Linked DNA regions of Danio rerio. The protein of the gene in region 1 interacts with the protein of each later gene in a pairwise test. Links are inferred from orthologs where the notes say so. Each region holds a gene or a part of one and is shown on either strand. Other genes may lie near its edges. The genes, in order: top3b and spred2a.

Region 1 (3,828 bases):
CTCAAGTCTGGTCTGAGCTCCTCCCCCAGAGAATCCGCAGTCTATAGCGATCACTGATTGGCTCCTGTACTAGAAGGCGGGGCTTCATTCGCCATACTGACGTTACACTTTTCCCTATTTAAGACTATACGAGTGACACGTCTTGTGTATCATATAGTCATTGGTGGTTTGATGGTTAAACATCACTTTGGAAATATTTAAAAAGGAATTAAATGAACTTTATTACTATTTATTTTTTTCTGTAATAATATTATTTATTTACTTATTTATTCAGTTTTTAATGATTCATTTAACGTGACAGTAATCATAAAGTTTTAAAGTAACTACAGGACAAAAACTGATTTGTTGATATCTTGTAAACACATGACTTGCATTGTTGAGGTATAGGTTTGCATATAAACTAGGTGAGCAGGTTATTTCAGTAAGCTGATTTTTAGTTATAAGTGTATTGTAAATGTGTTCAAGAATTGTAATTGTATGAATCTTTCCATGCAGGTTGACTCGGTGACTAAGAAAGAGAAAGCCAAGCAGAGACCTCTTGCACTGAACACAGTGGAGATGTTAAGAGTGGCCAGCTCTGCTTTGGGTGAGCAGCTTTTCTTCTGATATTTAAAGGTCCCGTAAAGTGCTTTAAAATGTGGATTTTTATTTGATGTTTGACATAATCTCAAAGCTGCTCCCCTTTATTAAAAGCAGCCAATAGTGTTTTGTTTTATCCTCGCTCCGCCAGTGAGAGTGGTTGAGCTCAGATGCATCAAGTGAAAACCAAATGAGAAGCTTTTTGAAGGGGGCAGGGGCATGTCTCATACTAGAGAGCATGTGATTGGTCAAGGTGTAAAGTATGAGGTGACCTGAATAAAACCGTTCACCCATTTAGAAAAAAGTGACAAACTGCAAGCTTTACATGTTTTTATCAGTTTTAGATCTTCTAAATGTGAATTTTGTCACTGTTTTGGAGCGCACTAGCTTATAGATATCCTAAAAACTAATAAAACTGATACTAACATCTAAAAAACTTTATTTTAATTTCATGAGACCTTTTAAGTCATTTCACAAATCAGAAAACCAAAAGAAATGGTGAAAAAATGCTTTATAAATACAGCTTAAAGGGTTATTTTCCACAAAAATGAAAGATTCTGCCTTTGTTTTCTCACCTTGATATTTCATCATGATATTTTTAAAATGTAATAATTTCTGCGTTTCTATTCCTCCATTGCAAGTCCATTGAAACATTAAAGGTCTCATGAAGTGCTTTGAACTGTGCCTTTTTTACTCATTCACATTTTACATTTACATTTAGTCATTTAGCAGATGCTTTTGCCCAAAGCGACTTACAATTGAGGAGGTATTCAGCGATTCAACAAGAGGCGGCAATACACACAAGTGCTAGTTATTCAAAGTCACTTGTTTGTGCTTAGAGAATTCAGTGCTAGAGTAGGAGTATTGCTATTGTTTTGGTTTAATTTACCAGGGTAAAGGTGCTCTCGGAAGAGATAGGTTTTTAATTGTCGTTTGAAGGTTACAAGTGTATCCGCAGTGGGAATGGGAAGATCATTCCACCAGCAGGGAACATTGAATGAAAATGTTTTGGAAAGTGACTTATAACCTCTCTGCCATGACATCACAAGGCAGTGCTCAGTGCCCAGCGCTCCCTGACAGGAGGCTCCTAGAGGAGATGTAGACTTTCAGGAGCAGGTGGAGGTAAGAGGGTGCAGCGCCAGTGGCTGTCCTGTAAGCAAGCATCAGTGATTTGATCCGAGCTTCAACCGGTAACCAATGCAGTGCAGCTTTGGACATAATCCCAACTGAAACATGAAGACTGGGCAGGACATATAACAACTCCTTTTTGAAAACAGCCAATAGCATTTTGTTATTATCACAGCTCTACCTGTAAGTGGTTGAGCTCATGCACATCAAATGAATATCAAACAAGAAGCCTCTTGAAAGGGGGGCGATGCATGTCAGATACTGGAGAGCATTTGATTGGTCAGAAGATTTGATGAGAAACTGAAGTATGAGCTGACAAACAAATTGATCCATTTAGTGGAGATGACACTGCAAGCTTTGGATTTTTATATTTTCTAAATATGAATTTCATCACTGCTTTGCAGCACACTAGCTTGTAGATAACTTTAAAACAAACATACTGATACTAACATCTAAAAACAACCTTATTTTAATTTTGGGACTTTATAAAGGTATTAAAAAATCCATATGAATTTGAAGGTTGTATCCTAGTTTTCAGAGGAAACACAATATCTGTGTATTGTCAGTGTTGTAAATTAATGAATCACAAATACTCAAATGACTGTAAAACAGTAGTTTTTCCTCCTAAACTGTAATTTACTGAGAGGTTTTAAAAATGTGTATTTTTACTTTTCCCTTGAGTAAATTTTTTTGTGCTGTATCTGTATTTTTACTTCAGTTTTTTCCTTCAAACTGCAGTCACTACTTTATTTTTTCTTGTCTATGGGGATTGGCTGTGTAGAAATATCAGTCCTGTGATTCCTATCCAATCAAATGGCACATAGAAAGTAACATCAAACTGTGCAGCAAACTGTGTGGAATCATAAAAAGTGTCCAAGATGTCTAAAATCTTTACATGCAATAACACCGAGACTGTTTAGACTGCATGTCACTGATGATAAAGATAAAGGATGTTTATGATATGATGACTGAAATCTCCAAATGGCCTTAAACAATAACTAAATACACTACAGAATGTTACGTTAACACATCGGTGCACAAACTGCATGTAAATGCATCAGCTTTTCACAGCGTAATACTCACTACTCTTGAGTACTTCTGAAAGGTCTACTTTTTACTCCTACTTTGAGTAATATTTACAACAGATACTTTTATTCTACTTGCACTACATTTTTGGGCGAGCAATGGTACTTTTACTCGAGTATGACTTTTCAGTACTCTTTCCCCCACTGTATATGGTGAACCGATTTAATTTAAGCTGATCAATCATACTTGCTTGAAGCTTGAGAACAACCTTTGTTGGTTCTTACTGAAACTCTAATGTGGTTTTTATTATTACTCGTGCTGCTCAATATTTATTGTGGTACAGTTTTTAAAAGGGCATTTCATTGCTAATGAATATACAATTTGGTCTGTGTATTTTTTAGGAATGGGTCCCCAGCATACCATGCAGATAGCTGAGCGTCTCTACACACAGGGTTACATCAGCTACCCTCGCACAGAGACCACACATTATCCTGAAAACTTCGACCTGAAGGGCACCCTCAAACAGCAGGCCAACAGCACCTTCTGGGGTGAAACGGTGAGCGATATTGTCTTTTAATTATTTTTTTATTTTCTTTATACCCATTGTCTTGTGTCAGTTAAAAACTCATGGTGTAAATAAGGGATTGGTTTTAGTGTTGCACAATATATAGGTGGTGATATTGGTTTTGGCTGCTTAGTGCTATCAGTGGAGATTAAATAACAAATGAAAATAAGAAAATACATGATTGGCTGATAAATTCTGGATAATTTCAGCCAGTTTGCTGCTGGTTGGTGTCTTTCATGTTTTCCTGTTGCATGCAGATGTACACTCTAAAAGAGTTTTACACATTAAGAGGACTTTATAATTGCAATTTGTAAATGATTTTGGGAACAGAAAGATGCATCCTTGCCATTTTCTTGTTTTTATCCCTCTATTTAGTATTATAATTTAAATAAACTAAAATGAGTTAATGTTATTGTATTTTTTTAAATAATATTATTGTATTATCTGTTTGTTTTTTAAGTATAGTTTATTTATTGTTTTATATGACATTTTTTATTACATTATATCTTTTATAATATTGTTTACATGTT
Region 2 (4,497 bases), on another chromosome or scaffold:
AAAAATGCAATATATATATATATTCCAGGCCCGGCTGGGAGTTGGTATTTTTTTGTGGAGTTTGCATGTTCTTCCCATGTTTCCTCAAGGTGCTCCGGTTTCCCCCACAATCCAAAGACATGCGCTATAGGTGAATTAAATGAGTCAAATTGGCCATAGTGAATGAGTGTGTGAATGTGAGAGTGTATTGATGAAGTTTTTTTTCCTCGCTACTGTCACCACTGCATGGCTTGCTTGGTATGTGTATTCTTGTCCATAAACTTGAAATTACTGAACCGACAGGAGCCTGATAAACATGCTCACATTTTAAGGAAATTTCAAACAACTTTTAGAGCTTTTTGCATCTGAAAACTTCACACATATATATATATATATATATATATATATATATATATATATATATATATATATATATATATATATAAAAGCGTTAACAACAAAACATAACAATCATGACTTTTGAACGCTCTCATATTTAAAACAAGTAACATTTGAAAAACATTAATTGAACATTAAATTGTGACGTTTTGTTAGAAAACAAACTATAAACACTCAATTTCATGCAAATATTTCAAGAATACCAGATATAAAACATAAGTCAGCGTTCTATTCCCAGGAAAGAAAATCATGGTTTGTTGCTATAAAGTCTACAGTTCCTCTAAAAATGGTAATTCTGTCATCATTTAGTCAGTTGACTGGTACAAAGAAGTTACAGTTTTTTTATTCTGTTGAACACAAAAGAAGAAATTTTGAAGAATGTTGGAAACCAATATCCGCGGACCTCCATAGTATTTGTTTTCCCTATACTATAGATGCCAAAGGTTACCACCTTCAAAATATTAAAGGTTACCATCTTCAAAATATCTTCCATTATGAAACTCAATCTCGTTTGGAACAAGTCAAGGGTGGGTAAATGATGAAAGAATTTTCATTTTAAGACCATGCAGCTAGAAACCAGCTGCCATACTTTAAGGGATAGTTCACCCAAAAATATATCATTCTGTCATCATTAACTCACCCTTCATTGTTCCAAACGAGTTTCTTTCTTCTGTTGAACATTTGTCATGTCCCTTTGGAAGCCAGTGGCTACCAGTTTTCAGCTTTCTTCAAAGTATCTTCCTTTGCACTGAACAGAAGACACTCACAAAGCTTCGCAAACACTTGAAGGAGAGTAAATAATAAGTCAATTGTGATATGTGTGAGAAGTATCCCTTTAAACTGGATTTCCAGTAGTGAGAACACATACACGTTAAACTTTGTTAACTTTAGGAAGGCTTTTGGCAAGTTTTGCGTTTGGAAAAACAATAAAAACCATTGCTGGACAAAGGTAAGCGAAGGCACTAGGTGGCAGGACGTTGGCACAGCCGGTCACACCGGAGATCCCTCAGTCCAAAACGGGCTGCAGTCGTTCCAATGTGACGTAATTGCTTCCGCAACCCCCCTCCCCCTCCCCTCCCCGCGCCCCCCCACCTCCAGTGTCGGCGGCGCTCGCCTGCTGCTGACTACACAATCCAACATGGAGTAAAGAGAGATGGGGCTCCTCTCCGAGACCAGCGCGCAGTCTTCAGCCGAAAACACATCGATACAGCCGTCGGGATGTTGCATAACGCACGGATTTCGGGCTCTTCGGGCAGATGCATTGCAAAGCGCGACGGATAAAGAGCGGTGCGCGGAGGAAGAACGAAAATAAGGATCGCTGAAGCGGATTTGGGGGAAACTCGTTGATGCACTGGACTTTAAAAAAGGCGAGGTGGAAAATCGAGACGACATGAAGCCCGAACGCCGCGCGCCCGCGCTGGGATATTATTTTTATTGTAGGTGAAACGAGGGGGAAAATGACTGAGGAATCGCACCCAGACGAGTGAGTATCCACTTTTTTTCTTTTTTTTTTTGGCGAAAACGACGCATGTGGACACAAATGGAAATCTCCTTGTGTGTCCAAGAATGTGTCGCCAGGCTGAAGCAGGGGTCAGTCAAAAGCAGGGAATTCGTGCATGCGAGACACCGGGGATGTTATTACTAAGAAACAATGCAGTGTCAAAGAGATTTGAGTGCTGGGCCCCTGCTGCAGGGCTCTGGTCTCAAACCGAGAAGGGGGGGAAGGAGGAGGGGCTCGAGCGGAAACATTTTGTGGAGGGATCCTTTACTGAATACCTTCTATCTTATCGACTTTAAAGACGAACTATCGATTCGAGGAAGCAAACAGGCGACTGTTAAGTTTATATACACGCAATGCCAGAGCAACGAGCTCGTGTGCGCTCTTAAAAGTGCCGTTCTTGGTGCCTTTCTTTGTGGTGGTCTGACATGCTATATCCGCCATTTCTTTTTCGTGAATCGCTCTCATTTGCATACTGTCCTTCATTCATAAAAATACAGACGGGGGCGCGCACAGCAGAGAGAGAGAGCGCCTCAGAGCTTTGCCTATATTAAAACAGGCCCTACACGGCACATATAGCTCTATATGCAATCATAAACGCTGAATTTAATCAGTCAGCTTCTTACATTAGCAAGAAACAAAAGCGAAAACACTTTATGACGAGTTGTATGCGCGTCCCGCACTGTATCGGTTGTCACAACAGTAACACATTCGCCAAACTCTGAGGTATATTTTAAGGTTTTGTCACATTCTTCAGGATTACATACACACTCGTATCTTTTGCTCATGGTTGTTTGACTCGACAAGCCGATCAAAGTCTTGCTAATAGCATTAGGGTCGAGTTAAACGGCTCGTTAACTTAGTGAGCTCTTTGGGGGGGGGGGCTTAAAATTAACTTCTGTAACACACACTTAACCTGTATTAACGAGGGGACGCTTATTAGATCTAATTTCGCAATCTGTTATGAATAAAATCATCAAATGATTGATGATTAAAAGATTGGATTAATCTGTAATAGCAGTGTAATAAGAGTTGGTCAATCTTTTTCCGGACAAATATATGGTAATATTTATTTTTATTTTGCAACTAATGTAACTTTTGCATGTTCTCAAATCTTCTTTCCATATTAGTCCACTAAATCATAAACTTTTCTTAAATAATGTCAAATAGGTAACAGCCTCAAGGTAGCCTGTAATTTATCCTGCGGTGGCAACACCATTTAAAATGTGGACATGAAATAATTTGAACTATTGAGGTAAAGTTGTTTTTTTATTCGCACATTAGTTCAGTCACATCTTGTGACACGCTCCCTATATTATTTACCACGCTACTTTGCCTATTCACTCTGAAATCACATGCAAGTATGACTTAAAGACAATAGCCTATTAGCACAATTTAATTGAACAATGTTGTACTTTGGTAGTCATTGGCTGCTAATATGATTTCCTTATTTAAAATTTGCAAAGAATACTTTTCTGAAAGTATATTATTAAGGAGAAAGTCTGAGTGTGCGAATATAAAACCAACTTTACCTCATTTTTGTGCTTTATGTTTTGATGATAAAATAGGCCTGCTTTTAAAAGAAACTACTTGATAAATGGACAAAATAATATATAATTTGTTTACAAACACATCAAAATCTTTTTCTTTTTCTTATACAACTGGATACCATCTTAAATACACTTTTTACACTTTCAACATAATTGTGACTAGGCTGTGCAATATATCGTTTTAGCATCGATATTGCAACGTGGATCTGTAATGTGGAGACAGGATTTTAGTTGACCATGTACACACTCCGGAAATTTTTTTTAAAAAAACTTGTTTTATATTGGTAACTCAAAAGTACCTACAATTTGTTTAAAAGGAACACTTTTGTGCTTTTTAGGTGCTAAAATGTGCCCTTGAGGTGTTAATATAGACCTTTTGGGTACAAATTTGTACCTTTTGAAAAGATGTCACCCCAGTGATAGGCTACAAATTGTGGAGTCATTTTATTTTGACCATAAAAACGTGAAAATTCATCAGTTGTGCATGTTTAAATTCACTTAAAATGCTTACACAATCTGTTGAATTAACAAAATATGTTTTTATGTATATAATGAAGACTACAACTTTGTTGTACATTTCATTATTTTATTTCTGTTCCTGAATACTGTTAGACTCCTTTATTTATATCGTTGCTTAACTGTATTTATCCATGTTGGTAATTATCTTCTGCAGATGCACTTCCCATTCAATATAAATGCATGAATTATTTAGAACTGGAGCTATTTGGTAAAATATTGCAATATAAATCAGAAAATAAAAATATTGCAATATCGTGCAGCCCTATTTGTGATGTAGGCCTAATAATGTTTAATAGTAATGTTTAATAATGATTTAATAAATCATAGAAATTTGACAGCCACTTGTTGCACTGGTAACCTTTTGGGCTTTTTAAGTTTTTAAATTCAGATTTACATCAGGCCTAATAATAATAATAATAATAATAATAATAATAATAATAATAATAATAATAATAATCTGACTGAACTTTGGAAACTTTTCTGAGTGTGTAAACTACGTTTTACAAATGGTGAGGTGACCAATATCAACTATGTTGGCTTGTTGTAGGCCTA

What was found.
Region 2: the proteins of top3b (region 1) and spred2a interact in binary tests that used the Homo sapiens proteins (3 or more experiments, as listed by UniProt). The link is inferred for Danio rerio from reciprocal best matches to the Homo sapiens genes TOP3B and SPRED2.

What each region holds. Positions count from the first base shown.
Region 1 is NC_133180.1:13,917,912-13,921,739, reverse strand, and holds part of top3b (DNA topoisomerase 3-beta-1), read left to right. Parts: intron 1-495; coding exon 496-586; intron 587-3,134; coding exon 3,135-3,289; intron 3,290-3,828. UniProt on the Homo sapiens protein: Releases the supercoiling and torsional tension of DNA introduced during the DNA replication and transcription by transiently cleaving and rejoining one strand of the DNA duplex.
Region 2 is NC_133176.1:54,794,068-54,798,564, reverse strand, and holds the start of spred2a (sprouty-related, EVH1 domain-containing protein 2), read left to right. Parts: upstream 1-1,504; 5' UTR 1,505-1,835; coding exon 1,836-1,861; intron 1,862-4,497. UniProt on the Homo sapiens protein: Negatively regulates Ras signaling pathways and downstream activation of MAP kinases. Recruits and translocates NF1 to the cell membrane, thereby enabling NF1-dependent hydrolysis of active GTP-bound Ras to inactive GDP-bound Ras.